Nothobranchius furzeri: one gene and its partners. The protein of the gene in region 5 binds, or shares a complex with, the protein of the main gene of each other region. Links are inferred from orthologs where the notes say so. Each region holds a gene or a part of one and is shown on either strand. Other genes may lie near its edges. The genes, in order: cacnb1, cacnb2a, stac3, cacnb3a and dihydropyridine-sensitive L-type skeletal muscle calcium channel subunit alpha-1.

Region 1 (6,835 bases), on a different chromosome or scaffold from region 5:
TCAGCTCAGCATGATTTAGAAGACATCTTCAGGGTCACGGCTCCCAGAGCTGAATTAAATAAATGGACTACACTAGGCAGGCTGCATTTTTTGAGTGTGAACTTATTGTTTGTTATGCTATTTGAACATTAATAAAATTATTTGAAAAATAATTAATAAAACCAGCAACACTTACCAAGGAAACCATTTAGCATGCTCCACTCCGGGATAATCTTCAACCTTCCAGCATCACAGGGCCTCAGTCACAGCAGAAACACGTCTAAAGAAATGTTCCTTGGTTGAGCTTCGGTTTATGTCTCCAGATTTCCTCTGTGATGCAGAGAAATATCCAATATTTTGAGAGGGATGGTTTAGTGCAAAGTACTCACGCATCCTGTCATCAGTTTGGTACCACTGCAGGATCAGATGAAGCTTGTTAACACCCTTTCTGGGTCTAGAGGCTCCTGCTGCAAAACTACATTGGGCTCACTTCTGGCTGGCTGCTGTTCTTCCAGTTCGTCCTTCTGTGACGGCGTTAGCGCAACAGCGTCTTACGCCGCATTTCCCGCCACATCTTCGGGTCGTGTCTCCTCCGGGTCTGGCTCGGGCCCGGCCTTTGGCTCTGCTGACCTATCGCAGGTTCACAGCTGTCGGCCGGCTGCCCGAGCAGCTCGACAGAAACTTCTGTAAAGCTCCCCGCTGTCTCGTCTTTTGTTCCTCTTCATTTTTTTTCTTTTTACATTTTGACGCACCTGAAAGCATCGTGAAAGTTAGCCTACTCAAAAACTCCTGCTAGCTTTGTTGTGTCCCGCTCTGACTCTGACCGCTTCACCGACGCCCTTAATTAGGTGGCGCCCAAGTTGTAAGCTACAGTCATGGGCTGGCGTTAATGTGACGTAGCTAATGTAACGGTCTATGTTCAAGATAAACATTGTCACTATTTTTAGTTAATTAAAAAATATTGAAATAAACTGTAGATATGAGTCCTATCTACAAATTCTATCATAGGACATTTGTACATTTTATTTTTGATTTATTTATTTTTAATTTTGTCCCTCTGTCTGGGCCCCATCCAGCCAATCAGGCCCTAGGCACGTGCCTACTTTGCCTTTGCGTTAATCCGGCTCTGACGGCTCCACCATTATTTATGACTGTTCTTTGTGGCCAAACGGCAGGAAATGCCTTTTATGCTTATGTATGTATGTATATATACATATATATATATATATATATATATATATATATATATATATATATATATATATATATATATATATATTCTAGCTATTATTAGGAAAAGTGAATATACAGATTAGTACAGTTCTGCTCAGTTTAATGTGAAAGGAAACTAAATTAAAGTTCAGCATGAATTCTGTTACCTTAAAATATTTTACGCAATTATTGTTCTCAAACTGAATCATTTTTAAAAATTAAAAATGGGAAAACACAAAATTCATGAAAGGTAAAGCTGAAATGAATCTTTACACGTGTTTGTCTCTGGTGTGACGTCAACACTCCTACTCTGGGGTCAACCTTAGGTCACAAATGGAGCAGGGTCTCTGGGTAGTCTCACTCAGCCTCTTCAGACTCTGATCCAGGAGAAAACTAAGGACAGGCTGAGATGGTTCCTTCTGTTTTACAGGCAGCCCCGCGGGACTCTGGGGAGGTCTGAACACCTCCAGCCTGTCATGGAGCTCTGCTGCGGTCTCATCACTCATCACCGTAAAGGTGGGGTCTCTTCACTGGGGCGTGGACCTCGGCTTCCAGCTGGAGGCTGATGAGCGCACACAGGAACAGAGAGGGCGTCAAGAGGGATGAAAAACACAAGCACGGCAGTAGTTGGAGGATGTTGCCTTCAAAATAAAAGCACACTCTGCTTCTCAAGGTGCTTGTTTGGATCTGGATTTTCAGTCTCAAATGTCTCTTTGGGTAGCTCGTTATTAACATTCATTCACCCTCATTGTAATTCTGTCCATGATGCTGTGTAATAAGTTTTATTCGATTTCCACGTATTAAAGATTGATAAACATGGCAAAAAACAAACAAAAAAAACATGCAGGGCAACTGGGAACACTGTGGTTTGAATTTTGGTGTAGAATTTTCATCATTGTAATAATAATAATAATAATAATAATAATAATAATAATAATAATAATAATAATAATAATAATAATAATAATAATAATTATTATTATTATTATTATTATTATTATTATATTAAAAACTCTTATTCTGTAACCGGAAACGCTCTTGCGTCGGTGCGGAGCCCTCCCAGCCTGTCGGTACTTGGTGACAGTAGCTGAAGGCTGGAGGAAGGCAGCTGTTGCCATTATTTAACCAACCAGCTCAGAAACATCAGCGGCTTTTCCTCCTTCCCTAGACGAGAAATAAAAAGATAAAGTAAGTAAAATAAAAAAGATGCGACTATCAGCACCGTCATAAATTAACAAGACTGAAAGAGATTCCTCGAAACTGAAATCAAATGGTACAGAAAAGTAATAGTATGTCCAGGACGCCTTCGACCCCCAACCAGGAGATCCCCATGGGCATGATCGACCACCATCCACAGGTAAGAACCACAGAGACATGTCACCTATCGCCTCTTTTCACTGTTTACACGTTGATGATGCTCCATTCCGGAGATTAACAGGTTGTTCTTCGGTCTGCTGCTTGTGCGCGCGCGTTACAGCTGCGCTTTTATTTTCTAATAGAGAAATGGGGTTTGTTGTTTTATAGTCGATCATTTTGTACGTAGGAAACAGCAAGTCTGTTGGCGCTTTAAGCACAAATGAAACGCCTGTTGTCTAACACAAATTAACCGGAATGTACCACGTAGACGTCCAACGAGTTGTTGATCTGAGTAAATGATTAAAATCCTTTAGGCTACACATCTGATCGGCATGGTAAGCATTTAGGGAATTACTGTAATCTGCAACTGTTTAAAGATAATTAATGAGGATTCTTGTCTGTATGTTTTACTGAAGCATGCACTAAACTTAACTAGCCAAAATAAATAATAAACAGGAGGTGTATTAATAAAAATGTGAGTAATAATAATAATGATGAAGATAGTAAAAGAAACACTTAACTGAGAAAGTAAAACTGCTGAAAAAGTGGGCAAAATTTATATTAAAACTAATTTGGATATATATATATATATATATATATATATATATATATACACACACATATGTATATATATATGTATATATGTATATATATGTTATGTATATATACATATATATATATATATATATATATATATATATATATATATATATATATATATATATATATATATACACACATATATATATGTGTATATGTGGGCGACGGTGGCACAGGAGTTAAGTGCTCGCCCCGCAATCGGAAGGTTGCAGGTTTGAGCCCCGCTCAGTCTGTCGCTGTCATTGTGTCCTTGGGCAAGACACTTAACCCACCTTGCCTGCTGGTGGTGGTCGGAGAGACCGGTGGCGCCAGTGCTCGGCAGCCTCGCCTCTGTCAGTGCGCCCCAGGGCAGCTGTGGCTACATTGTAGCTCATCCCCACCAGTGTGTGAATGTGTGTGTGAATGGGTGAATGACTGATTGCGTTGGAAAGCGCCTTGGGGGGTTCCAGGACTCTAGAAGGCGCTATATCAAATACAGGCCATTTACCATTTACCATATATATATATATATATATATATATACGTGTGTATATATACATATATATATGTATATATATGTATATATATGTATATGTATATATATATATATATATGTATATATATGTATGTATATATATATATATACATATATATATATATATATATATATATATATATATATGTATATGTATATATACACACGTATATATATATATATATATATATATATATATATATATATATATATATATATATATATATATGTATGTATGTATGTATGTATATATTATAGCCCAGTTTGCCCATTAAAGTATACACCAAATCATCCTGTTTTTTCTATTTTTATTTGCCATGCTTTAATGACACTGGTCTGTTGAAAGGTTCATTGAAGCGCTGATGGTTTGGTTGTTAAACAGTGGGCATGTTTAGTCATGACTCTTTAAAGTGATGTTTTTTAAATTAAGATGAAAATATCTAGAACAAACACACCCACACTGAGATCAGTCATTGTGTCTCTAGAGAAGAAAAACCAGCTCATCACAGACAACCAGCGTTTTAAACCATGCCAAGTCCTGCTCTCTCCTCTTTACTCCCACTCTTCCCAGCTCCCTCTCATCCCTCAGCTTCTTCCACATCTTCTGTGAGTGTCCCGCTCACTCTCGCCATCTCACCTCTTCATGTCTGCTTTTAGAAATCAGATCTTTTATCAGCTGAGAGGGAGCAGTGAGAAACAGATGGACGACCTCCTGGTGCAGGCAGCGTGGCTTTCTGAGTGTTTTTATGTGTGTATGACACCTCCCATCAGTCACACAGCTCTCATGTTGACGTGCAAAAAGTTACACTGTTTTTATGCATTTATAACTACGACAAACAGAGAAAATAAAACTAGAACATCTGGAAAGAGATGATGTGAGAAATAGAAATGACTTGTGGGTGGAGAACTTGCTTGAATTCAGAACTGGGCGTGTCTCAGATTAAAGATCCTGTCTGCTGACCGCAATCAGATTGCAGGTGAATCTCTGAGCAGAATGACAGAGGATTCTCCTGTAAAAGCAGAAAAATTCCTTGTCAGTGTTTTACCACCTCATCATGCAGCCTCTTTAATTATGCACTTATCTGAGAGGATGTTTACCAACAGGAAGCCTCCACACCCTTTCTCCGCCCTTTCCTGACAGGAATCAGAGATCCTTCCTTAAGGCTGATTCATACTGACATTGCTCCAGCATGTCGGATCTGTTGGATCGCCATGATGTGGCGTCGTATGGGCGATCCAACAGTGTTGGGTCGTGTTGGAATGTCGGTTGGAGTCGAGCTCTATTTTCTAAACATCGGACAGCGGCGTTGTATGCATGGGCGTCTGTTATTGGTCAGCCAAACAACCCAACGTCATTTCCGGCACGACGTAGCTTACCTTAAAAAATGTAAACAGCACGAGTGTTTACACAGTCCTGAAGACTCGTTCTCGCTGTGCTCTTTCTAATAATAGTTGTTGTGTCACGCTGTGAGTTGGGGGAGGTTAGGACCCAAGATGCAGACACAGGATGACACAAGGCAGGAGTAGTGAAAACGTAAAAAATCCTTTATTTAGGGGTAAATTCAAAGGGCTGGAAGCCAAAAACCAAAAATCCAAAAAAACCAAGAGTCAAAACCCTGGGAACATCCAAAAACACAAGAGACCTAGAGAACGTCAAAATACCTAGAGAGGGGATGAGCAAACGCTGACACAAACAATGGACCAACAACCACACTGAAGGTTATATCAAGGGCTAGGTGAGTAGGGAATTGTGCACAGGTGAGACCAATAAACAAAGGAAGAGCACAACGAAGCAGGGGAGGAAACCAGACCTAAAAATGGGGAAGGGCGCAAAATGAACTAGAGGGAGAAAACAGACTAGATAAAACACTTAACAGAAGACTAATGATAAAAGGTGTCTAAGGAAAAACGTAAGGGAAACCTAGAGAGCCTGGAGGGGGTTGGGGAGACACCGGGACGCTGAAACCTGGGGGGAACACCTAAGGGGAAAAAACCTGGAGTGGTCTGGGGAACACAAGGAGGCACATGAGGAGGGATGCAGACAAGGAGACACATGAGGGAGACGCAGGACGCAGACCATAACATGTTGTTCTTCTAGCTCAAGCAGCTCCTGCTTCGCTCTGTGTCGCCCATCTTTTCGCGTCGCAAATAGTAAATACCGTAAATCCTCTAATATTAGCCTGTATTTAATTAACTGCTGGGTATCATATTTTGGTCGGAGTCGGCGGAGGTGAATAATGGCCGTGTTTTTATTGTGGCCGGGTGGAATGTGGAAACAAGCAAGTACGGGGGCGGCTGTGTTATCCGTTTCACTTTTGATTTGCCAGTGATAGACCGCGAGGGTAACTTTAACCGTGCGGAGACGAAGAGGAGGCGAAAATTTAATATCAAGTTCAAAGAGAACGTGCTGATTATGCTGCAGAACACTCTGGGGAGCAGTAGCAGGGGTTGTATGAACTAGTCACTAGTCGACTTCACCGCTCTATAGTGACTTTTTATGCCTGTCATCGACTAGTCGCTGTCACGTGATAATGACCGGCAAGATGCAGTCCACGGAAAAGACAGCAGCCTGCTGTCAGCAGGTGACAAGCTCCTGCGCGTCGGGAGGCAACGCGCTGTACCAGAGCGTCGGTACTGAGACCCGCCGTAAAACGGACATTTAACCAAATTGTGACGTTTACCCTCTTGCAATTTAACCTTCCCCTCACCCCCATCCTAACCTTAACCAGCTTGCGCATGCAATGCTCTGATTGTTGACGCGCTCCACACATCTGCGTCCTGAGCACGGCCACAGTAACATTATCAAATCAGGTGTCACCACCTCAAAAACTAATTTAACACGCGATCATTCATGTCGGCTCATTTCCTTTGATGTTTTCTGTCTTTTATTCTTTTACTTGTGTCTGATGCGTTTCGCTGCTGCGGACCGGGGCGCATCACCTGTTTTGTCCTCGGTGACGCACCGATCACTGATGTGGCCGGGAGCACTCCGCTGCTTTTGCGGTCGGTAGATCTTTTAGAACTGCAGTTCAAAGGTAACTCATGAGGTGAATATATATGAACCCAGGTAGCAGTTTTTCTTTAGGATTGAGAGGAGATGCAGGAAGATAATAAACAGATACAGGACAGAAAAATAGTCAAATAAAAACAAGTTAGTTTTTGTACCTGCTGGTT
Region 2 (6,866 bases), on a different chromosome or scaffold from region 5:
CGTCTAATAAAAAAGCACCAGAATTACATATAGTACTTTCTAGAAGACTTTTTATGTTATTCTTGATGAAAACTTCAATGTAGGCCTACTTTAAGAGGCATTAGTAGCTATTTATAAGGCCACGTTTTTGAGAACTGATCTTATTTCCAAAGCATTGTTGTTCTGTGTTTTGTTGAGGTCTTACTGTGATCCAATATGAGGGCATTTCCACCCACCTGAGCTGCTTGTTCTCCTCATCTACCAACCTGGGTGACTAATGCTGGGTACTGTACAAGACAGAAACTCCGACCCACACAGTGCACGCGCTCTTTGGCTGTGGAAGTGGGCCTGCAGAAGGAGGCAGAAGAAGAGGCGAGAACGATGAACGCATCAGCACAATAAAACAAACTAAATCAACCTATTTAATTGGATTTGTGAAACTGACCATGTGAGTGGGCTTGAGAGGATTATTTAATCAGTTTGGTGTGATTGAAATCCGGTGCAGTCCACACGTTTGAACAAACAGCTGTCGAGCATCTACATTTGTGCTACAGGGATTAGTTTCATTGCACAGTGATTATGTTAATTTTCCCTTCTGCTCTTTGTCAAACTACAAAGTCAGTTTTATCAACAGCATTGCAGGATTATTTGTCACGTCTTAAAAAGCTGATACCATTTACTGCAACTTCCTGAGAAATGTTGAAACAATAGAAGGAAGTCCATCACATTTTCTCTTATTCTAGCGAATTTGCTGTTATTTTAGAAATACCAGCCCCATTGGCATTTCCAGGAAAGCACCAGACCACACTTGTTTGTGTGTAAATCTGCTCTTTGGCAGCATTAATGCCATTTTTTTTTTCTTTTACATGTGTGCATCTCTTCAAGGCAGCTGCTGTCAGGATGGAGGAAGGAAGGGCTTTCATCTGGGGCATGTTGATGTGTCCGCTGACTGCTCTGTCAAAATATGAGCTCAGCTTTGGGGGTCATCGAGGCAGCAGAAAAGAACAGGAAACATAAAAATATTTCCCGTTGGATCTAAGAGATGTCTATGCATGGCGATTCTTTTGCACCTGTTATCGTTGTCACACAAAACGACACTAGATCTATTGATTGTTTCCTATTGCAGATGTGCTCTTTTAAAGAGTCTGCAAATGTGTTTCTCTGCTGGTCTTTCTGCAGTGGTTTAATTTAGCTGCTGAAAACAACCACAAGCATCTGTGAGATGTTGAGACGAAACCGTGTTAGTCAGAGATGAACATTTAAAAATGATAAAACAAGAAATACGTGGATAATGTGGGGAAGAAAACTGCTAAACTGGGTATTGCACTTGCTATATACATTTAGTTTTTTTCTTTTTTATTGCATACATTTGAATAACTCTAAAATACAAACAGACTGATTTCTCACTGCCCTTTTTAGTTACATGCAAATTCACACACAGCCACCAGGGGGCAATGACGAACAGCAAAAAATATCAGCTAAACCAATTTCTGCATGTGTTTTATTTGTCAAACCAAGAAAAACAGCAAACATACTCTACTTACTTTGATGTAGGTTTGATGCAGCTGTATAGACAGGTTATAAATTAAAAGGGTCACACAGGTTATAGGCTAAAAACATAGACTCACGCTCTGATTCTTATAGGAATTTGTGAAATAATCTAAAATATTGCATTAATTGTCTGCAGAAACAGAAAAATACAAGAACAAATATTAGATATATTGTTCTTTGAACCGATAATTTACATGATCTAATTAAAGGGAAAACGCAACAGCAGCAGGTAGGAAAGCGCCGCTAACACTGGACGTAGAATCATAACCAAGGTGTTGTGGTCACATTTGTAACCTGTTAATTCAGTAGCAGCAGAAACACGATCAGTGAATCCTAAGGATGCATCGGTCCAGTCAGGTGAGCTGGAAGAGAGCAGGTGGAGGAATATAAATATCACACAACCACAAGAACCTTCAAAGTTTTAAAATTGTGCATGAGAATGGTTGCAGCTGGGTCGGATGGGTAAAGGTTGTGTGTGATATTTAAGAGAAAACATAATTTCTAACTGATGAAAGCAACAAGGATCACCAAGATTAGATTGTTTTCCCTTTTCTTTCACCTTGGAAGTGGATGAAGTTGTACAAAAACGTTTACACTAATAATAAGTTTATGCTTTTCAACTAATTTAACCACTGGTAGGTTCTTCAAGCAATCATTCTTGTTTATTAGATTTTATGCGATCCAGTTTACTCTTTAGGGCCAAATTCTTTTTCTTCTGAGTCCAGTTGCTGTATTTATTGTAGACAGGAGAAAAAGAAGTCTACGGTGACCTGAGTGACCCTACAGGTGAAACTAAAATGCAAAAGTCCATTTATGTCAGTAAGTCACCTTAGACTGAGACACCATCTAAAGGAACCATTTGCAGGTGTTTGGATATATTAGCTGATTAAAGTGTGACACTTAAAAGTGGGGTTTTCATGTTCTGTAATCCATAATAATCTAATTTATAACAAATCAATACTTAAAATATTTGTCTTTGCATGGAATGAGTCTACCTCATATATAAGTTTCACCTTTTAGGTTGTATCACTGACAAAGATGAAGTTTTGCATCATTTTCAAAATGTTTGAGTTTCATCTTAAATGCCTATTCTGAACAGGCCCCTCCCATTGATGGTGTACCACCTTAAGTACAAACTATCAAATAAACAAAGTCTTATCCTATATTTCCACTTGTCAGTTGGATGACTTGCACTTTTCCTTTTTTGTTCATCCTTCACCTGGACGCTGCAACTCATCCCATCCTTTGATCAGGTGAGGAGGCAGAGGAGTTGGAGAAGAGGAGCAGCGGGTCTCAGTCCGTGTGGGAAGGGCTGATCTGATGAGCAGGCTTTCAGATGCTGAAGGCTTTTCATTTGGAAAACAAACACCAAACATCTCGATGCCCGCTGGGTTGTAGCGGCGCCTTGTGTCCGTTTCCGTTCTCCTCGACGGCGTCACCATGAGTTTTGTTTTTTATTTCAGCCAGAACTCAGCTTCTTCCTCCAGCGAAGCGGTCCTGGTGAACGCGTTTGTTCGCGTTCCCTAATGGTCGTCAACAACAGTCCGACAACTAAAGCAGGAGCAGCTCCGGACCGACTCATGGAGAGCGCAGAACACCTGGTGTTACAGGTGAGTTCGTCTCAGTTTGGTTCAGTCACGGATGTTCATATTAACCGTGATTCTGTCCCAAAAAGTATTACTCATTCGTCTCGTAATTCAGGGGGGAAAAAACAACTATTATGACTTTTAATCCCAGAACTTTGACCTCCGAATTTAAGCGTTATAAGAATTCTGACTTTTGATATCAGAGTTATAACTTTGATGCCCAAATTCTGATTTTTAAGAGCAGAATTATGAGTTTAACGCCTGAAATTAGAGTCCGACTGATAGTTTTCCCATTGCTGATCCCAATTTGTAGGAGACATGGTCGGCCGATGGTCATGTGTGCTGCCGGTTTTTATGGGCCGATATCTAAATGTTTTTCACCTTTTTTAATGCAAAAATGTCACTAAAAACATCAGTTAAAGAAAGCACATTTTTACTCTGAATTTCACTAACTGTAAAATCTTAACTTTAAAGTTAAAGTCAGACATTTAAATAAAGGTGATTTAGAGTATTTATTATAGCGCCTTCCTAGGGTTCTACAACCCCCCAAGGCGCTTCACAACACAATCAGTCATTCACCCATCCACACACTGGTCAGCTACAATGTAGCCACTGCTGCCCTGGTGCTGCCGAGCATTGGCGCCACCGGTCCCTCTGACCACCACCAGCCAACAAGTCGGGTAAAGTGTCTTGCCCAAGGACACAACAGCAGCATTCTCTGGTGGAAACTGGGATTGAACAACCTTCTGATTACTGGGCAACTCGCTCAACCTACAGAGCTACTGCTGCCCAGATGTTATTAGTGAACATGAAATTACATTTAAATGAAATTCTGCAACAGTTGGACAATGTTTTATAGAGCAACAACAAATAAGGATTTAGGTAGAGAGATCTCAATCAAGTTTTTTTACTCCGATTCCAAGAAATTTGATTTAGAGCGTCTGCTGATACTGAGTCCTGATCCAATACTTTTCAGAAAAGCATTAAAATAAAATAAAGAAAGAAAAAGTTGTCCTTTACATTTCACTTTCACTTGTTTAGGAAGTTAATTGATTAAAAACATGTTAACATCATGAAATAAAAATTTAAACCAAACCATTTTTGTTCCGTTTGAATATCTCTTGTTTCAGGATGAAATTAGAAAGTTATATTTGTTGTTTTATAAGATATAATCTGATCTTTTTCACCCAATTCTAAACTTCTTAAAATCTCATGATCTGGCCCAATTTCCGATCACGTGATCAGATCGGACCATCCCTATATTTAGCGTTTTCTAGGCATTTTAGCACGTGAGTTAGGTCAATGTTTCTGTTTCATCAGGGGTGTGTTGTGACTCATTGGGGGATAACTTTAAAGAGACAATGTGTTTTTACCATTCATTTCTGGAAATATCCATCAAATTGTTGTTGAAAATGAATGAAATGATGCCCAGTTGTTGAAAAATATTGACGGCTTTGTAACATATAACCATAAAAATACTTGGGAGTGGGTCTATGTCTCTGGGCGACACCATATTAGATGCCATGCTTCCTTCTACAGGAGCCCATGAGGACAAAATGCATTTACTGATTTGTAACAAACGGTTACAAAACGTTTGTCCTTCTTAAATGTTGTTTTCAGTGATGAAAGGGAGTCTGATGCACTTGTTATTTTGCGAAAATTTGCACTCCCCAGGGCTTTTTGACCCTAACCCCGGGTTTCCACGGGAGCCGTCAGCAGCACGTTACTGCAGCAGCACGTCTTGCTCGCGTAAGCTGGTGCTTGGCCCTTCCCACGAGGCGCGAAGCAGCAGGGGAGCAGCTGTCACCTACAGAGCACGAAGTCACACGAGTGACTTCATCAGTAAACACAACAACAAGCAGGAGAAAACTACAACATGGTTTGTGTTTTATGTTCTGTCCGTTTTATAATCGCCAATACGGACCTGAAAAACAAAGGAGACCGCTAGCTAGGTGATAACTTCTCACGGGGACGCACAGTTAGTAACCTTTTTTAAAAGTAAAGCAACCGGAAGGCAGTACGTTCTTTATTCTGAAAATCTCTGTAGCTTCTCTCCATTTCCGCGTCCGATTTCCTGTCTTTCCTTCCCCAAAAATGTCGAACTTGACCCGTTTCAGAGGCGTCGCGCGTAGAAAATAGAACCGGCGCGTAAAGGCCGCGACATGCTGCTCCTGAGACGCGGCCGACTCGCGCTGCTGACGGCTGCCGACGGCTCCAGTGGAAAAGGTTCTGTTGACCACAGCGGTTCCTATCAGCAGCTATGACGTGCTGCTGCAGTAACGTGCTGCTGACGGCTCCCGTGGAAAGCCGGGGTAATGGGCATCCGTTGGTGAGGTCTTACTCCAACACAAAAATACTGCTTGTTTGCAACGATTTAGGTATCTACAGCCCCCTATCACCAGGAAAAACGCACACTGTCACTTCGACAGATATTATTTTATACACTTCTCCATGTAATGCATTTTTATTTTCTTGTCTGATTTTGATTACCTTCATTAAAATTTATATTTTGAATAACAAACAGCTAATTCAACAGATTAATTTGGCCAAACGATGTGTTCGTAGCAAAAAAATCATAGTTTTCACAGACTGTTTGAGCTTTGTAATGAGTATTTGCAATATGTGCATTTAGCATTAAATGTGTGTATTTGTTTATGTCTGGCTCCATTATAACAATGATTGACATGACCAGCCTTTGTTTTGTATTCATGTTTAACACGTCCTGGGGCTTTGGGCTGGAATAAAATACCAACATGTATTTCTACTTTACAGTTGCTATTGACAACAAATGCTGGATGAGTTCTTGTATATTAGGCATCTCATTTTATGGCAAAGTAGACCACCCACATAATTACTATGACCAGGCGATACCAGAATTATTTAACATTGATTATGAAACCCTTAACTACTGAAATAACCATGAGATTGATGTTTGGTAAATTACTCCTACATCCTATCAGAATAAAGAACATTTATGTTTTGCAAAGTAGGATTTTTAAGTTCAGTCTGAAAAATAATAGCACTTCCCACATAGAAGAAGCAACTTTAAAAGCTAGAATGAAGACAAGCTTGTCAAAAACGCTGCAGTTAAGTTTTTTTCTGTTCTTTATTTTTTGTTCTGAAGTCTCAAAGCAAAGGAAACCAGAGGAAAAGTCGCTTTAAAGGTTCTGATGGCAGCACGTCCTCCGATACCACAACCAACAGCCTTGTTCACCAGGTAAGGCAGACAAAAGTTTAACTTAAACCTTATTTCATGTTTTCATTTAGAATAAGGTGGGGACTTGTGTTTAATATTCTTCCATCCCAGGGGCAATGTTTATTGGCCTCAAGCAAGAAGGCAAAAGGCAGGTGGTGATGTTTTTCTTGTGTTTGCATGAGACCCGACCATTGTTTTCTTGTGCATTTTTTATTTATCTTAGTTGTTTAAGTTTAGTAGGACATCATAAGTATAATAACAAAACTTTGTCTTTGTACAGGAAGTAGTTTTTGGAAAAAAGGATATCCCCATATGGGGACAAGTGGTTTATTTTTGCATTTAAAAATGTTTTTTTATTATTTGAGACTGAAAGGTGTCAATTAGTCTAATATCCAAATTTCAGCATTTTGTTAGAAGTACTTTTCTCAAAAATGTGTGTCCACATATGAGGACAATAGGTCTATCCAAACTGTATGACCCACAAAGACACAGTTGGTTAAAAATTTATAAACCAGTTTATTTTGACCATAGAGCATTAGGAAATCGAACAGTAT
Region 3 (5,474 bases), about 5.9 Mb from region 5:
TTTCTTTGTCTTGTAGCCACCTGGCTTTAGAAGAGCCTATAGTTCTCCTCTGTACAGCAGCGACATCCCAGATCCAAGTGAGTCCATCAAACCTTCAATCACTCCTAGAATTAGTAATCCTTTATTTATTACTGCTAAATCAGAGTAAAATAATTAAATTTTACGGTGAATTCTTTTAAGCAGATGTGTAAAATTAGTAGGGAGGTCGGAAATATCGACATCAACATCATATCGGCTGATGTTTGTTTTTTATCTGTGTATCGGTCCAATAAGTAAAACTTGGCTGATACTTTCTTCCATCTAGTTGCTATTGTTGTATCTTGGAGAGAGATGGTCATGCAGTGAATTTTTAATCATGTCAATCAGTCAATCAATCAATCATTGAGAGCAATCTACAATTTATAATGGTTAGAAGTGCCCAATGTTGAAAAATCTTCCTTACAAAGGTGTAATTATATTTTAGGGATGTCCGTTACTAACAGCTAATGTTGGCATTTAAGGTGCATTATGTAGAAATGAAGTAAATATGACAATCTGTGGTAAAATCTGGTTGCTGCAATCACTTTAAACAACTCTGGAGCTTTTTGCCGGCCGTAGTCAAATTACAACTATCGGCGCTGCAGTATTAGCTCGCAGGAGACACAACAACCCCACACTTGTCATGTTCTGCGGGTGGTGGGTTTCAGGAGGCAGATGAGCAGGCAACGGATGAAAAAATTAAAAGATGTTTAATCGTAGACTGGGAGCAACAGGACGAACGAACATGCACAAACGACAATGAACCGACAAAGACAGCAACAAGGAGGGAGGTATAAATACACAAGGGAATCAGGAACACATGGGCAGAGTAATGAGGGACAGGTGAGAACAATAAGGCTAATCAGGGCAGGAGAGACACAGTCAGGGAGGCCGGGGCGGATCATGACAACACTCACTGGTAGTAAACACTAGTTACGTCCATCTTTCCTTTGTTTTGAAATGAGATGAACTGACAATCCTCACAGCCAGCTGGATATGAAATGTGTTTAAATATAACCTTCCTTCTAAAATGACCAACACTTTTTGGATTTTCTCACTGTAGATTTTTCACTATATTTTTACATAGTGCACCTTTAAAATGTAATATCAGAAATAATGAGTTGATTTTCACTCTTTTAATGACACAACTTTTACATGCCATGTACATATTAAACATCAAATTCTTCAGCATGGTCTAATAATAGCCATTTAATATTAGCCCATTTTTTGTATCAGTGCATCCCTAAAAATTTGAGATAAAAAAATCTAATGTTTGTAATGCCTGGACTATAGCATTTTCTACAGATTATTCATTAAATAAAGCTTTATAATTGAAAGTGCTGATATTTTCTGGCCAAAATTTTCCATCCGACACCAGACAACCCAAACCGAAACGACCCAGTCTTTGACACACTGAGAGTTGGTGTCATCATGGCGAACAAGGAGCGCAAAAAGAATGAAAATGACAAGAAAAATGTGAGTATTTACGATGAGTTTCATCAATAAAAACACAATAAAACACATTTCAGAAACACATCATTGTGTAAAACAAACCCAACAAAGGTATGAAAGCACACATTTGAAAAATAATTGATTAAAGCAGATGCACTGCTCAAAATGACTTTAGGTAACTTCAGAATATTGTCAATAAATCACAACATTTATTCACTTATATGTGCTTTAGATGATGATGATGATGGAAGAGGAAGAGGAGGAGAACCAGCAGCCCAAAGAGAGTGAGGAAGCAGGAGAAGGTAAGAAAATGTACCTTGGTAAATTACACAATAATTGCTATTAGGCATAAATCTATGAAATTAGTTTTCTGCAAAGAAAAATGATGGCTGTTAATAAGTTTCACGAACGGACTTGGTGACTGTTCGCACAGGAAAACCCGAGGATAAGAAAGAAAAAGGAGGAGACAAAGCAGACGAGAAGGTCAAAGCAAACATTTCATAAGGATGCATTTTGTTTAAAATCTCCATAATCTGTCATTTTTGTCAACAGAGTAAGGGAACATTTACCGGGTCCCACTACTACCTGGCTCTCTACCGCTTCAAGGCAATCGAGAAAGACGATCTTGACTTCCAGTAGGATTAAAGGATAGAAATGACATCATAAAACAAAGCCTTTGTCTTGAATGTGTCTCAAACAAACATGATGTGTCTGTTTATTAGCCCTGGTGATCGGATCATAGTGCTGGATGACTCCAATGAAGAGTGGTGGAGGGTGAGTTACGGAAACACGCTGATTCCATACGTGTCCCGGCAGAAGATTAACTCAAACTGTCGGATTATCAGGGAAAGATGGGGGAGAAGACGGGCTACTTCCCTGCCAACTACCTCATAAAAGTACGAGCATCAGAGAGAGTCTACAAGGTGACCCGCTCCTTTGTTGGCAACAGAGAAATGGGACAAATTACGCTCAAGAAAGATCAGGTGACCTTCTAAATATACTCAACAACACACGTCGAATCAGTTTTGTTGGATTTGTTTTGCTTTTAAATGACAAGTTGGGTGAAGAATGTACCACTAAACTTATTTCTGTATTTTGTTGAAGACATCCAATGAAATGACTTTAATGAACCCAATCAAGGCTAAAAAATGCTAATAAAATTGTCTAAATGCTAAAATTCTCCATATGAGGCAACAAAATGCATCTTCCACTTACAGATGTTTGAAATCAACACTGGTGTCATGCTGCTCTGCTGTCACTCTCTTCCAGATTGTGGTGAAAAAAGGTGATGAGAAAGGAGGATATTTGAAGGTCAGCACAGGACGCAAGCTGGGCTACTTTCCTGCTGATCTGCTTGAGGAGATAACTGTGACATAAACACCTAAATATGCAACAACATAAATGGCTGAAACACATTTTAAGTGGTCAGACACCTGGACACACCTGGTCAAAAGATTCATGTTTGTTACCTAAAAATTATAAGTTACCTGTTGTGTTTTTGCTGTGAAATTAATTTTTTGCCTTTGACACACAGGGTGATGATTTTTAATAGTTTTATTAATATTTTAAATAAAATTGTAACGTTGTAATAGAATTTATTCATTCACAATCTGGAGCTGCTCCGACATTCACGAAGCATCTTTTCTTACAACAATCAAGGTTTGATGTTTAAAGACATTTCATGTGGAGTGGATGAACAACAAGGATTAAAATTGTGTTTTGCAAAAGTAAAAGAAATTGAAATTGTCTGTTTTGCAGAAAATAGTAAAAAAATAAAAAAGAACTGGCAAGTCTGCAAAAATGACACTAAATGTAATGATTTCTTTTGCTGGATAACATTATTTGTATTTTTGTGACTTTGTCCCATTAGAGTTTATTTATTCATGAGTGGATTGAACACTGATGTTGAAATCAAATTTAATTAAAAACTGTCTTAATAAAACCGTACAGCTGAAGACAGCCTTCTAAAAAAGAATCTTATTAGACTTAATTAGAAACAGATGTTAGATGCAAAAGCTGCCTTATTTTGAAATAGTATATAAACCTGGAAAATGCACAAAAGACAGAATAACTTTTTTTTCCTTTAAAATAATTGAACTAAAAACTAAAACGTTTAATGTGTAAAAGTAATAAATGCTATGGTGTTTGTAATTTAACCCTAAACTGCTACTGAAGGTAAACATTTATTTTTCTTGGTATTTCACAGTTAGAAACCAGCTAATCGATACTGCCACCCAGTGGCGGTTCTACATCGAATTACTCCCCGGGCGAGGCCCCCTTTGAGCCCCCCCCCAACCGCCCCACCACCACCACCCCACCTGCACGAACACACGCATGTTTTCTACAAACAGGCATGTTTATTAGAGCGACTATTGAACATTCATTTTTCTAAGTTGCACATATTTACATTAATTACTATGAAGTTGTCAGAATGTAAAGCACTATACATTATATACTGTATTAAAATATATAGAATCAAATATACAAAAACAAACAATAACTAAATATTAAGAATATATGAACATAATAGATAATAAATATTCTAAATAGCAAAAATATTTCACACATAACAAACTAAAGATAATCACTACAGCATTGCACTTAGAACAGAAAACACAAACTAAAATTAAAACCTAACCTTGATGCAACGTCATCAATAATGTCATCACATGAAATCTGCTCCCCTACTGAGTGATTGATACTAATCAGAGCCAGGTTAGTGAGCCGCCCCTGAAACATAGCTGACCTCAGGTATGACTTGATCAAGTTTTGAAAAGCTCCGCTCAGCTTGAGCCACAGTGACTGGCAGAGCAGTCCAAAAGTTGGGGTAGATCTCCAATAGATCTCATGATCCATAATATTTTAGAATTGCCTCTGAAATTGTAATTTAAACTGTCATAAAAATAACTGTAGACTACCAAAAATGCCAACTTTTACAGAACAAATCATGTAAAATAATCAGTGCAGCCATCTGCAATAAATAAACAGGATAGTTAGTGGTGACTGGGGTGTTTTCTTCTGCTTGTAGAGTTGTTTTATTTATTATTATGTGAACATGATCAACATGTGTTTGTTGTTTTTCAGGCAGGCCACAGGCTGCAGTGAGCATTTAACAAATCCTAGTTTGAATCAGTAAAAAACGATTCAAGGACTTTTTTCGAACCATTTGAATATTTGTTTCAATATTTCAGCCCTATTAGCTCTGTTAGCAATTAGTTGACCACATTTAACCGTTAAAATCCCAGTTAACTGGTTCAAAAAATTGAAAACATGCATCATGAGAGCTACATACCTTTATCTTTCTCCTCTTTTTTCTTTTTTTTCCCCCTGAATGGGGCACCTGGTGGTTTTAGCCTTTTTATGTTCATCTCTTCTGTTTGGCTCCTGACTCAGTAAGTTTCCTTTAGTCAGGACTAAACTATTTGACCTTGATGGGGGTGTGACCACAAAATCGTTTTGTTTTTCCTTTTTTTATTCGGCCATTTCACACAATTCAGAGTAACCTGAAAGAATGATAGGCCTGTGTTTATGATATTATGAATGAAATATGGAAGAACGTTAAGATGTGATTAACTTTAGCCATGTTAATACAGTTGATTCAGCCCCTGCACGCTCATTTCATTTGGGAAAGACGCAGAGGAGAATTCCCCCGCCGCACCCCTCCCCTTCCTGTTCTTCATAGACACACGGTGCATGTGAACGTTCTCAGTCAGCATGAGCGCCTGCAGCTGCAGGGGGCGCCAACTTGCTGTTTCCAATCCAGACTCTGTCAGATAATAGAAAACCTCGGTGCGGCGCAGATTTCCTTTTTTTTTTTTTTACTCAGCGCTTGTGCGCCCCTTTTGTGTCATGAAAAAATGCCGCCCCGGGCAACTGCCCTGTCTGCCCGTGCCTAAAACCGCTACTGCTGCCACCTACTGGACCATTAGAATATAAAACACACATAAAATGAATAAAAATCATGATGTTTTGTTTTGTTTAACTTGATGTTCTTTTATATATAT
Region 4 (6,646 bases), about 28 Mb from region 5:
GCCATGCGGACCAAACTCTTGCTCTTCTGGTACAGGGAATGAATGGTCCTTAAAAAAGACCATCCACTCCATATGCCTATAGCACCCCCACCCCCACAGAGTGCTTCTGGGGACACGGTCACAAGCCTTTTCCAAATCCACAAAACACATGTGGATTGGTTGGGCAAACTCCCACGACCCCTCCATCAAAAGAGCTGGTCCACAATTCCACGACCAGGATGAAAACCATATTGCTCATCCGACCGACCAGACCCTTCTCTCCAGTACTTTAGAGCAGACATTTCCAGTGAGACTGAGAAGTGTGATCCCCCTATGGTTGGAACACACCCTCTGGCCACCCTTCGTAAAAATGGGGATCACCACCCCAGTCTGCCACTCCACAAGAACTGCAGAGACTATGACAGTCCTACAACATCCAAAGTCATGTGATACCCAGGCCGAATCTCATCCACCCCTGGGGCTCCACTGCTGTGTAGTTGTTTGACTACCTCAGTAACTTCTGCACCAGAGATTGCCCACGTGAGCGTTGAAGTCCCCCAGCAGGACAGTGGAGTCCCCAGTCGGAGCACCATCTAACACTCATCCCAGGGACTCCAAAAAGGGTAGGCACTCTGAACTGCTATTTGGTGCATAAGCACAAACAACAGTCAGGACCCGTTCCCCCACCCAAAGGAGCAGGGAAGCTACCCTCTCATCCCCAGGGGTAAATCCCAACATACAGGCAGTGAGTCTTGGGGCTAATAAAAATCCCACCCCAGCCCTCCGCCTCTCACCTGGATCAACTCTAGCAAAGAAGAGAGTCCAACCCCTCTCAAGGACTCGGGTTTCAGAGCAGATAGCTATGTGTCAAGGTGAGTCCAATTATATCTAGCCGGTACTGCTCAACCTCATCCACAAGCTCCAGCTCCTTTCCCGCCAGAGAGGTCACATTCCATGTCCCAATAGCCAGTTTTCTTGTCTGGGGATCAGACCGCCAAATCTCCTGCCTGGGTCTGCCACCCTATCTACTATGCACCAGACACTTCATGTGCCTCCTGCAGGTGATGGGTCCACAGTTGGATGAGCCCATGTTTGCAGTTCGGGCTGGCCCGGCCGGTCCCCATGGCCAAAAGCCCGACCACCAGGAACTCGCCCATGGGCCCCAACCCCAATCCTGGCTCCAGGGTGGGACCCCGGTAACCCTCCGAGTCGGGTACTCAAACTCTCTGATGTAGTGTTCATGAAAGGTCTTCAGAACCACTTTTCGTCTCACCCTTGCCCTAGGACCAGTTTGCCATGGGAGACCCTACCAAACAACAAAGCTCCTAGGATCATTAGGACACTCAAACTCCTCCACCATGATAAGAAGGATTAACATTATCATTATTATTATTATCATTATTGTTGTTGTTGTTGGTAGCTGCTGCAAGCAGGGGCCCTTATGGAGGATTTGTTCTCTTTATTATTATTCTTCCTCTCCATTTGCTTAAAATTAGCATAAATATAAATTACGCACATTATTAATTAATAACATGGCAGGGCCTCTCAAGAGTTATGTTTAACTTATACACTATCTTGTGGCAGGTCCCTTTTTAAAATTTCTTCAGGATTTTCTAGGCATTCTTCTTCTTCTTCTTCTCCTTCTTCTTCTTCCTATTATTATTAATATTATATTATTGTTATTGTTATTATTATTATTATTATTATTATTATTATTATTATGTGTATTTTTCAATTTTATTTTGTTGTTTTTTATCCTTATCTTTAGGTGGGCAAATGTTCAAAATTGAAACGTATAATCAGAATATTTCATTCATCATTTATTATTTCAAGACAAATAATTACCCAGCTTCAATAAGCACACACACAGAGGGAGAGAGAGAGAGAGAGAGAGAGAGAGAGAGAGAGAGAGAGAGAGAGAGAGAGAGAGAGATTTAAATAAGTAAATATTTTTGTTGTAAACAGGAAAAAAACATTCATATTTTTGGATTTCACAATGACGGTGAAATAAGTAAAAGAAAACCAAATGCAATTATAACAACCAGAATCAGAGTAGAAATGTGGTTCTGGTTCATATGTTTTATGTCTAAGTGAACATTTAATTTAATCACTTGTAATATGTACTTTTTATTTCATTTATAGCCACACTCTGTCAGTATGACATTTATATTTTTAACTGGATGGAAACAGGAAATCAGTCCCTTAACTTTCGACGGTAGGGATTTTTCTGCCATCTGGTGGACATAAGCGGTTACTACAAACATTCATTAAGTTAAATAAGACATAACTCATCAGTACTTCCTGTCATAATTTTCAAAATAAAACATCACACTTAAAATGACTACTGCTTTTAATCAGCGTTGACAGCATAGTTATAATTAAATAACAGAAACGCCTTCAATTATTCAAACTACGCAAGTCAAATTATACAAACTACGTAAGTCGTGAACTCATTCCTTCTATTTTACTGCTCTGTGCTTGTGTGCTAAGCAGGAGCCATCAGCATGCAGGAGGCAGTGGGATACACTATTCGGTGTGTGAACATTATCTAGCTCCAGCCACCCGTGGGTCCTCCTCTCACGATTCATTTCCTCCTTTTTATCCGAAACCGTTCTCTCGTCTTTACTCTACTCGCTCTGGATATTATTCCCGCTCCCCCACACCTGTTTTCAGTTGGACTGCATGCATTTATGTGCTTGTTTCCCGTTCTCGCTCCTTCCAGGAACGCATGTCCGTGTTCCTCCCGCCGCCTCCCTGCGCTGTCGATAGATGATGCAAGTCAAAATGTCCAAATCTTCCGTAGACCCTTTGTCTGCTGTGGAAACGGGCTCCCAGTCGCATTACTTTCAGGTAAATCCGCTCACTTTTCTCCCAACGCTTCCCCGACCGGCTGAAGTCTTTAGAAACGACTAGCTGACATCTCTAACGCTACTTGTTGTGGGGGACACGTACTTCTCCTCTCCCCCCTTTGTAACCTCAGTGAAACCGCAGCTTGTGAGCCCGCACGGCAGGCTCCAACATGTCACACCCGCAGAGAAACAGGCTGACACCTCCGCAGATCTCCCCAAATCTGCCCATTCGGTCCCGACTCTCAGATCGGGCCTGTGGCAGTGATGCTTTATTATTTATTTCAGCATGATTTCCTGCCTCGTCTCGTCTACATCAACGCAGAGAAGCAGGCAGCAGCACGGACGGACGGACGGCTTTTTCCCTCGGTGTTAAAACGACAAACCTGCTGTAGCCTTATGTCTGTGGTTGCGGCTCACCTGTTGGGGCCTGGAATCAGCGAGGTGCTTCTGTGTAGCTCAAACCATGCTGCAGAGCTCAGATGTGTGTTATTTGTGCAAATCTATCTTTTTATAGACCGATTACAAGAAGTACTTGTTCCAGAGAGTGTCAGTTGTTATATATATATAATTTGTTAGTATTTTTGCTATTAGACAGGAAATTGGAGGAGTGCAATGCTCTTTTTAGACTCTACTGTGTATAACTAAGGACTAAAACCGAACTTCTTTTATTAATTCTGGTAAATTTAGAAATCTGAGCTTTTAACTTTTATTGGGGTGCCAGCTTGCACCAGTCACCTTTGAAAAAGAGATTATGATCTCAAAAGATTTCCTGAATAAATGAAATGAATATGGATTTGGCTGCATAGATGTAGTGGAGTTCCATATTGGTTATTTAACGTATTCAAAAGGGAGGTCTGCTCTATTTTAGGTAAACTTGACATTTACAAGACTTTGGGGTAAAACAGTGCCCATACGCTCAGGTCTATTTCAGCTGGTTAAAATTACAAACGCTACTCACAAATAAAACAATTAGGAGCTGCAGCAATTGCACAGATGCTAAAGCAGTAAATCCCACCACAGCCCAGTTTTTAATTAACGTTTTCAGGTCAGACTTGTGAGCAGAACAGAACGTCCTCTTCTTTGACTTTTTCCTTTCAACATCTGCATGTCTTTTCCACACAGCTGCCCAGGAAGTTGCCTAAACGTAAAAGCCGCTTCAAACGCTCTGACGGCAGCACATCATCTGACACCACATCCAGCTTCATCAAGCGGCAGGTAAGCGCTCCTCTTTGTTCAATGCTAGTTGCTGCCAGCGACACACGGATGGTAAACCTTAGTGGGAGGAATAACGTTTCTATAGAAAATGTAGGTCATGCTGTGTGAGAGTGGGACCAAGCACTTCATCAGAACATGTTTTCCTTTGGTGTTTTGTCATAGCATTTTGCAGAACTTGTAGTTTTACAAAAATGAGTCACCAAACATGTCTCTGATCTGATCATTCCTGTTCTTCCTCATCACTGCACAGCATTGCTTCCTGTGTTGCAGGAGTTGTTTTACCCAGTAGAGGACAGCAAAATGCTGTAAAGCAGCAATATGTTACATCCCATCACAGCCCAGTTTTAATGAATGTTTTCAGGTCAGACATGTGGGAGACTTGTGAAGATTTTGTGTTATTTAAGAGAATTTCTGAGACTGAAAATATAACAAAACCTTCCATTCTGGTGGTTTTAATGGCTGCTAATTATAACATTACCTCATTTAAAATGACAATGTGTAGTTTTTACCATTAGTCTCTGGAAATATCCATCAAAATGTTGTTGAAAATGAATTTATTGATGCCCAATTTAAACATACTCACCTTCCCCCCCTCCACTTATCTGGGTCGCGGGGGCAGCATCCCAAGTACGGCCTCCCAGGCTAATCCTCTCCCCAGCCACGTCTGCCAGCTCCTCAGCTGGGACACCCAGACATTCCCTGGCCAACCTAGAGATGCATTTCCTCCAGGTAGTCCTGGGTCAACCCGGGGGCCTCCTGCCAGCAGGGCATGCCCAAAACACCTCCTGAGAGAGGCGTCCAGGAGGCATCCTGACCAGATGCTCAAACCACCTAAACTGGCTCCTTTCGATGCGGAGGAGCATTGGCTGTACTCCGAGTCCCTCCTGGATGTCCGAGTCCCTCACTCTATCTCTAAGGCTGAACCTGGCCACCCAGCGAAGAAAACTCATTTTGGCTGCTTGTACCCGCGATCTTGTTCTTTCGATCATCACCCAAAGCTCATGATCATAGGTGAGGATTGGGACGTAGATCAACTAGTAAATTGAGATCCTTGCTTTCTAGCTCAGTTCCCTCTTCACCACGACAGATCAGTTTAGCGCCCGTATCACTGCAGATGCTGCCCCAATCCGCCTGTCGATCTCCCGCTCGCTCCTTCCCTCACTCGTGAACCAGACCCCGAGATACTCAAACTCCTCCATTTGACGGAGGACCTCTCTCCCGACCGGGAGTTGGCAAACCACCCTTTTCCGATTGAGAACCATGGTCTCAGACTTGGAGGTGCTGATCCTCATCCCAGCCGCTTCACACTTGGCTGTGAACTTCCCCAGCGAGAGCTGAAAGTCGGAGCATGATGAAGCTAGGAGGACCACATCATCCGCAAAAAGGATTGATGAGATTCTCCTGCCACCAAACTCGACACCCTCTGCACCACGGCTGCACCCAGAAATCCTGTCTATAAAGATTGTGAACAGGACTGGTGACAAAGGGCAGCCCTAGCGAAGTCAAACCCTCACTGGGAACAGGTCCCACTTACTGCCGGCTATGCGGACCAAACTCACACTCCTCTGGTACAGGGACTGAATGGCCCATAACAAAAGACCATCCACCCCTCACTCCTTAGTGCCCCCCCACAGGGGGCCTCTGGGGACACGGTCATGAGCCTTTTCCAAATCCACAAAACACATGTGGATTGGTTGGACAAACTTCCATGACCCCTCCATCACCCTAGCAAGGATAAAGAGCTGGTCCATAGTTCCATGGCCAGGATGTAACATATAAGCATAAAAATCAAGTCTAAAATAAATGGGAGTGGGTCTATTTAAGGTATTTCTCAATGTCAAGGCGCTTTGCTTACGAGGACACTGTCCTTCCTTGTTGAAAGAAAATCATTAAATAGAACAGACTTACCTCATTTGACCACGGCTGCCCAGTGGCGTGCCCTTGTCCCTGGTGAACCGATCATTATACTGCAACGGATGCAAATAAATGCCCCCATCTGCACACGTTTTGCTGTAAAATGAAAACAAAGTAAAATATAAAAAATACATTTACTGATTTGTAACAAACGATTAGAAAACTTTCACCATTCATAAACGTTTTACACATTTACTTCTTCAGTCGTTGCCAGTGATGAAAGGGAGTCTGGCGTGTGTGTCATTTAGCTGGAGGTTGGGCTCCAGGGATGTTTGACCCTAATGGCCATCCATTGGTAAATTCTTACTTGAACACAAAAACATTGCTTGCTTGTAGGTATGTACTGCCCCCTATTGCCAGGGAAAATGTACATAATCACTTTAAACCTACTGATTTAATAGGAATATATTTTATAACAGTGCACTGGTTGTTTGTTTCTTTAGAGAAACCGTTCATTTGATTCAAGTGTCGGTGTAAAGCCCAGCTGATTTGTGGTTTTGGGCTTCCTAAAGGGGAGAGCCGATTCTCGTCAAACCGGGTTGTGAGGAGTCTGTGAAGGTTTCACTGAGCTACAGAAGGACCGTGCATACAAAGATAACCCAAAATCACTAGATCTCTGAGATTCACATCAGAACAGGACAGGATCTGGGAAGGATTCATATGTTCCCTTAAAAATGGCACGTTGTTGT
Region 5 (6,688 bases):
GAAGAGCTGGCTCAAGTAGCTGAAGAGAGGGAAGTCTGGGCATCCCGGCTTAGGCTGCTGCCTCAGTGACCCGACTCCGGCTAAGCAGCTGAAAGTGGATGGCTGTTCCTGAAACTCTCCCCACTACTCTCGATGTCTGTGCTAGCCATTTTAAGCCAGAATGCTTTATAACTTTTGGGGCTATATCAGGCGAAGATGGCATTGAGGATTCATCTAGAATGAGGGGAGATTCCAACACTGAGAAACTTACCTGAAATTCAAACGGTAAGGCAGAATTTATCCGTCACAGGCACTTTATTTTGGAGAGAGATGCTGAAGCGAAACATATGGTGTCAACACCCCTGCTTCCTTCCACCAATCAACTCATTTGCATTATTCTAATGTCCTTTTCATACAGCCAAAATATCGCCTTTGCTCTCGCGAGAAAACGTCCTTTACAAAAAAAAGGGTCAGAAAAGCACTTTTTGATTTTTTTTTTCCAATACAAATTATGTTTATGACCTAATATGACGTAGATACTTGTGATGACTCCTTTAATAAGATAGAATCATTTTTAAATTTTGACCTCATTAATTGTTTTCTTGTTCCAAAGAGATATAATCCAGCCCGACTTTAATCTGTTTATATTCTATAACCGTGATGTGCCCAATGAACGTAACGTTTTCATGTATTTACAGTACGTGCCTCCATGTAGTGGAGCCCATGCCAGTTCCTGGTCATGATGTGGAAGCGTACTGTTTGTTATGTGAATGTAAATATGAGGAGCGGAGCAGCAACACCATTAAGGTACAGCTGACTGTCTCTGAGTTTGGTTGTTTCTGTTTTAGCCCAGTATCCTAAACGTTATTTGTTCTTTATGTTAAATGTTTCAGGTAACCATCATCATTTACCTGTCTGTTGTGGGTGCACTGCTCCTCTACATGCTGTTTCTGCTCCTGGTGGATCCACTGATCCGCAAGCACGACCCGTACACTCAGCCTCTGCACAACGAGGAAGACTCCGAGGTGACCAACCAAAGAAACGGCACATTTCGAGCATCTGGTACATTCCAGTTTTTACAAAGCTGTGGATTGAAACAGTTTTTATGTGTGTGTTTAGGAGATGCGTCCTCGTGCAGAAAGCGGGTCGGCCAGAGGAAACACAGTTCTGGAGCGAGTTGAAGGGGCACAGCAGCGCTGGAAGAAGCAGGTGCAGGAACAGCGCAAGACTGTTTTCGACCGGCACAAGTTGCTAAGTTAGAGCTCTGTTGAAGGCTTTAAGGGTTAAAGGATGCAACCTTCCCAGTTCTGTGCTGTCACACGGTCACCAGCTGAGTTATCACACACCTGGTTGTCACTGATCAGCACCGCTTTGACTGCATTGCTGTTTCCTCACTTTAAAACATTTCACATGTTCGTCTAATTCATTGTCTTATAATTTATAAGGTAACTACTGTAAGCTAAGCCAGCTGAGTGGAGCGTAAACATCTTTTGCACACGCCATTAGTACATTTTCTCAGTCGCTTCTAGGAATGTCAATGCTGCTGCTTCAGATTTAAATTATTTTAGGGTTGTCATCCTTTTTAAAATATTTGTAAATATATATAAAAAAGTGTTGCATGATTAAAGAAGAAGTTGTTTCTACAGATCAGCTTGCTCACAGGATTCTACAGATGTTAGTTTAGTTGTAATTTATTGTTTTTAAACTCAGACTTTTTCATTGTTTGCACTAAGGATCGTTATTTTTTGGGTAGGTTAAATTTCTGTTGCTTCTTTGAAACTGATTGTCCATTTTTCCAGCTCTTTGATGCAAAAATGTATTTTATCAAACCATCACAATCTGTGGTCTTTTGCATGAAATTCTGCATCTGAAGTTTCAGTTTTTACTCCTAATGGAGTTTATTTTTGTCTTTGTTTTGTTTCTTAATTTGATGTAAAATATTTAGAGTTACCGAAACCTTTTTAGATGAGGAAAAAATTCTACCGATGTGTCGCACGGCCGCTCTCAATCATTATAAGATCACATGATGGAATGTTTAATGGAAGAATAAAAATCTATTCCCCCAAGAGATGAAATAAAACAGAATCAGTTCCAGGATGTGGTCATGTTTAGTTTTATTTTCCTCAGGCTGCATATTTATCTTTAGCCTGACTCAACAAAGCTCAGGCTTGGGCTAAGTGTTTAAATAAATGTAAGAAAAAAAAACGTGTATTCATTCTTTCAGATGTTTGGAGACTTCATCTTTAGTACAAGCAATTATTTTATCTGCCACCAGGGGGCGACAGAGTACACCGCCATTAAAATAAACGCCACGATGACGTTACCACTAACATGTCAGAGAGCAGATGTCATCCAACGTGTGTGGTTTGCATAAAACTAATACAAGTAAAAATATTTTTATGTGAATTAATGAACATTTTTTGTTTCCCAGAATTATGTAGCTAATTAAATAAAGTAATTAATAAACATCCTTCCTACGTTATTAAAAGGAAGGAGGTCCCTTTTACTGTTTTGCTGCACCAAACGTGCATCATCTACTGATAATTACAGCATGAGAACATATTGAATGCTTATATTTAATAATTCATGTGTGCAAATGTATGCATGTGAAAGCCAGATTTATCATCAAAGTTTCTCATTTAACAAAATATCCTTCATGCAAACACTTCAATAAGTGTGGAATTCAAATCTTGCTCCCAGGAGAATATTTTCCAAAAGAGCCACATTGTTTACACTTTAGATTTGGTTTGCTGCTGCAGGATGATCCCCCTAATCCCCTTGTTTTTTCTGCTCTCTGCTGCCCCTCCTTCCACTCTGCCCTCTAAACCATCCCCAAGCATGGCCTGCCAGTGGTTCACAATCTAAATTTAAACTGCTGCAAGGCCAACTGCTCTCTTCTTCCAGCTTCCCTGAGCTTCTGTTATTTTTCTCTGCTGGGGTGAGCTTTTTTCTGTCAGAGGCCCTCAGCCAGGGGAGAGAGAGGGAGCCAGAGAAGAGGGCAGCAGGAGGAAGACCAACACAAGAGAGGCTGATCTGGAGCCCTGGGGGCGCCACTAAAGGAAGTTACATGCTGCATCAGAGAGTTTGGGATTTTACATCAAGAGGAAACGTATTTTCTGGAATTTAAAGTTTGTGTAAAGTGAAGGAATCAGGATGGCAGCCAACGCAGAGGGAAACAAGTCGTTCATCATGAACGAGGAGGAACTGAAGAGGAAGCAGAGGGAGAAGCTGAAGAAGCTGCAGGCCACGGGGGGCAATCCTCGCCCTGCCAGAACTCTCTTCCTCTTCTCACTAAAAAATCCTTTCCGCAAGGCGTGCACCAACATCGTGGAGTGGAAGTATCCTTTCAAAATCACACCTTTTACACTTTATTGGGACCCGTGGGTGAAAACAGCAGCTGTGATCAAACATTATTTAAATCTGATGTCATCAGAGAAGTGGTTTAAGTGTTCAAACACTTTTGATTCGTAGCAAAAATGTCATAAATAATAAGGAACATATGAAGATTGTAGAACAGAGAGAACATGATCAGATGTACTATGGAGCAAGGATTGGGACAAAATTTCATGTAACTTGTAACATGTTTTGTAACAGCACCTTTTGCTTTGTAGCATGTAAATAACGTTTTGCAACACATAGCTTTTATTTTGTAACACATAATTCTAATTTTATAACATTTAATCTTTGGTACGTAACATGAAACTTTCATTTTGTAACTTGTTAAAAAATCTATGTACAAGTTTCAAATAACTCAAAATAAAAAAACTAAAGGTTTACAGTTACAAAACTTAAATCTACGTGTTACAAAATATTTTGTCCCAATTCTAGTTTCCTTTCCCAAAAAACCAATAACAAGCCTTGTCTGACCAGCCAATCTTAGGTCTGGGGCACACCGGAGACAGATGCACCGCGCCGCCATTTTAAGTAGAAGCCATTATAGTTACTGAGAATTACTACACGGGGAGCGCAACGCCGAGGCACTGAAGATAGGCACCAGTTCTATTTCATGCGCTGTGGTGCTTCCGTGGCGTGGCTGTTTACAATATTGTGGAGTACTTTACAACAGATAAGACGCTGAACGGCTTTACGGCACAAAGCCAGCCACAGTTTTGATAACTTTAAAGTACTATTGATCTTAAAATATTCTAATAAATAGCGTACGTAGAGTCTGACAACACGACAAGTCTGAGCATGTAAAAACAAAAGAGTCACTTTCTCAAGTCCCGCATGATGTTGTGATTATTGACTTTCCGAGAAGCGCTCGGCGGCGCTTCCTGTGTGACAATTTGATTTCCCAAAACCGCTGCGCGGCGTGTCTGTCTTCAGTGTGCCCCAGGTTTTAGATTCCTGTCCAATCATGGCAAAAAGGGCAGAGGTCTGTTGTACGGCTCACAACCAAACTTACATTGTCACTCTTTAACAGTAGGTGGCAGTCATTTTTAGAGAAATTAAACTGATGTAAATAATGAACTTACATTTTCAATTAGAGCAGAATATCCGAGACACATGATTGACTGATAAGACAAAGCTTTTCATTGGTTCTTTGGGGAAGGAAGCTAGAATTGGGACAAAATGTTTTGTGACTGTAGACTGAGATGTGTGTTTTGAGAATTGTGATTTTCTTTTTCTGCAAGTAACAAAAAGAAGGTGTTCCAAGTTCAAACATGTTACAAGTCACAAAACTTGGTACAAGTTACACGTAATTTTGTCCCAGTCCTAGCTCCATAAAGCATAATTTTCCCACCATTTTAAATCAATCAGTTACACAAAATCTAAAAATAACCCTTTAAATAGGAAATCTTTATTAGATCTCAATCATTTCAAAACATTTCTCTTATTAAATCACCAAAAATTACAGTTTATTGTTTGTTGCCAAATGTGTTGCATTACCATGTTAATCATTATGGTCTGGATGCTGTAAAAGCAGCAACCATTCACGAACTGAGTAATAGAAACTGATCAGCTGCTCTAAATTTTTTCAGTAGAAATAGACGTGTGAATAAAACCAACATCTGCTAACATAACCAGGGATTTCTTTCCTCTGATGAGCCGTCCGTGTTTAAACGGTTTGTCATATTCTTGGGCCTCGCAGCTGTCCCGCAGCATCACACAGACATAATGCTGACCTGGCAGGGGAATTTTCTCAGAGAGCCCCCTATGGATGAGAATGGGGCAGCACAGCAGACAGGATTACAGGAGCTGCAGCAGCAACGCCGGCCGCCCGACGAGCTGCTTTAGGGATGGTGTTTCAGGCAGGATTTAAAGCCAGTGATCAGAGCTGCTGGTCTACTTTATGTTTGGTTAAAACGTGCAAAACACACCTTGTCTACATCAAAAACACTCACCCGTCCCTCTGTCAGCGTGTGTATGAGCTGGTTATTATCATATAGATTCTCCGCTTCATCATCCTTAACTCCCCCACCCAGAACATTTGAGATCATTATTTTATTGACCATCTTTGCTAACTGTATTGCTCTGGCTGTGTTCCTGCCCATGCCCGAAGAAGACAGCAACAACACCAACTCCAGATTGGTAGGCTGATGTACACATAGAAACGCTTTCATTTGTTTTCCAGTGGCTGGTTTTGTAGAAACATCCATCGTGAAGGTTTTGGCTTTGAACCTGCAGTGGCTAAGGGCTGCAGCTGCCCTTCAGCCCCATTTAAAGGCCTCTAAATACAACTCAGTTCTTTATTTGGAGTCCCATCTGTGTCTGCAGAGGGACAGCCAATGAACACGTGAATGGAAAAGTTCACTGCATTAATTTAAGATGTACTTGCTTTGTTTTCTGCCCTAAATCCTAAAGCACAACAAGGCAGTAGGTGGTTTAGTCTCTCATTTCAAAGACGTGTTTCTGCTGATGTGTGTCCAAAGAATTGTCTTTCAGCATCTTAGGTGTGTGTTTTCACTGCGACGGAGTGGTGGGTGGTGTGTTAAATGTCAGAAAATAAATCTGAGGTAAATCCTGCAAATAAAAACCTGCTTAGTCTCTGTGACACCCATTAGTTCAATTAGCAAAAGCAGTCTTAATGATAAAATATTGAATTGCTTTGGCCTTTTTGGACAGAATAAATGAAGAAGAAACAAAATCAGGAAAAAAATCCAAGACTTGTATGTTTAATAATTACATTTTAGACGACTTGGATTCAGATTTTGGTGTTTTTGATGACTTAAAGGAGTTATAACAACCTTGTGGTTTTTTTCATCTCAATGTGAGAGAATGCTGAGTTATTAGAGCATCAGAAATGTTTTAGAAATATTAAAAAATCCTTGAAATCCTTTCCAAATCAGATTATATTTTCATCAAAGCAAGTCAGTCCAGAAGCGGTTATAATCCCAGGATAGAAAGACTCGGCCTATTAAAGGACTAGAGGTTGTTGATGTAAACATGAGCATCACCACCAACAGAAAACTCTTTAAAACCAGCAGGACTAATAGATGAACCCAAGGCTAATATGGATTATTGTAAGATTTACACTCAAGATTATGAGATTTTGCTCTACGGTGTAACTTAGAGTGAAAATATAAAATTGTGGTCCAATCATCAGTATTACTGAAACCTGAAGTCAAGTTTTAATTCTGACCACAAAACAAACTTAGCAACTGACTGACAAATGCTTTAGCCAATCATCTGCTGCATATTTTAAAGCACTCGTCTCTTTCCAAGTTGCGTCTAATCAGGTTTTCCAGTTCGAAACTTTTCGAAACAG

What was found.
Region 1: dihydropyridine-sensitive L-type skeletal muscle calcium channel subunit alpha-1 (region 5) and cacnb1 share a complex: the UniProt entries of both Homo sapiens proteins name them as parts of the calcium channel complex. The link is inferred for Nothobranchius furzeri from reciprocal best matches to the Homo sapiens genes CACNA1S and CACNB1.
Region 2: dihydropyridine-sensitive L-type skeletal muscle calcium channel subunit alpha-1 (region 5) and cacnb2a share a complex: the UniProt entries of both Homo sapiens proteins name them as parts of the calcium channel complex. The link is inferred for Nothobranchius furzeri from reciprocal best matches to the Homo sapiens genes CACNA1S and CACNB2.
Region 3: dihydropyridine-sensitive L-type skeletal muscle calcium channel subunit alpha-1 (region 5) and stac3 share a complex: the UniProt entries of both Homo sapiens proteins name them as parts of the calcium channel complex. The link is inferred for Nothobranchius furzeri from reciprocal best matches to the Homo sapiens genes CACNA1S and STAC3.
Region 4: dihydropyridine-sensitive L-type skeletal muscle calcium channel subunit alpha-1 (region 5) and cacnb3a share a complex: the UniProt entries of both Homo sapiens proteins name them as parts of the calcium channel complex. The link is inferred for Nothobranchius furzeri from reciprocal best matches to the Homo sapiens genes CACNA1S and CACNB3.

What each region holds. Positions count from the first base shown.
Region 1 is NC_091745.1:12,110,092-12,116,926, reverse strand, and holds the start of cacnb1 (voltage-dependent L-type calcium channel subunit beta-1), read left to right. Parts: upstream 1-2,325; 5' UTR 2,326-2,461; coding exon 2,462-2,548; intron 2,549-6,835. UniProt on the Homo sapiens protein: Regulatory subunit of L-type calcium channels. Regulates the activity of L-type calcium channels that contain CACNA1A as pore-forming subunit.
Region 2 is NC_091747.1:46,809,875-46,816,740, forward strand, and holds the start of cacnb2a (voltage-dependent L-type calcium channel subunit beta-2a), read left to right. Parts: upstream 1-2,437; 5' UTR 2,438-3,056; coding exon 3,057-3,140; intron 3,141-6,240; coding exon 6,241-6,333; intron 6,334-6,866. UniProt on the Homo sapiens protein: Beta subunit of voltage-dependent calcium channels which contributes to the function of the calcium channel by increasing peak calcium current. Plays a role in shifting voltage dependencies of activation and inactivation of the channel.
Region 3 is NC_091755.1:32,738,158-32,743,631, forward strand, and holds the end of stac3 (SH3 and cysteine-rich domain-containing protein 3), read left to right. Parts: intron 1-16; coding exon 17-77; intron 78-1,396; coding exon 1,397-1,494; intron 1,495-1,702; coding exon 1,703-1,772; intron 1,773-1,903; coding exon 1,904-1,953; intron 1,954-2,022; coding exon 2,023-2,105; intron 2,106-2,192; coding exon 2,193-2,244; intron 2,245-2,315; coding exon 2,316-2,453; intron 2,454-2,739; coding exon 2,740-2,847; 3' UTR 2,848-3,274; downstream 3,275-5,474. UniProt on the Homo sapiens protein: Required for normal excitation-contraction coupling in skeletal muscle and for normal muscle contraction in response to membrane depolarization. Required for normal Ca(2+) release from the sarcplasmic reticulum, which ultimately leads to muscle contraction.
Region 4 is NC_091755.1:54,935,678-54,942,323, reverse strand, and holds the start of cacnb3a (voltage-dependent L-type calcium channel subunit beta-3a), read left to right. Parts: upstream 1-2,609; 5' UTR 2,610-2,748; coding exon 2,749-2,829; intron 2,830-3,950; coding exon 3,951-4,043; intron 4,044-6,646. UniProt on the Homo sapiens protein: Regulatory subunit of the voltage-gated calcium channel that gives rise to L-type calcium currents. Increases CACNA1B peak calcium current and shifts the voltage dependencies of channel activation and inactivation.
Region 5 is NC_091755.1:26,877,332-26,884,019, forward strand, and holds the start of dihydropyridine-sensitive L-type skeletal muscle calcium channel subunit alpha-1, read left to right. Parts: upstream 1-2,907; 5' UTR 2,908-3,132; coding exon 3,133-3,317; intron 3,318-5,405; coding exon 5,406-5,511; intron 5,512-6,688. Other genes in the region: proton-transporting V-type ATPase complex assembly regulator TMEM9, read left to right, coding at 678-786, 873-1,004, 1,099-1,239. UniProt on the Homo sapiens protein: Pore-forming, alpha-1S subunit of the voltage-gated calcium channel that gives rise to L-type calcium currents in skeletal muscle.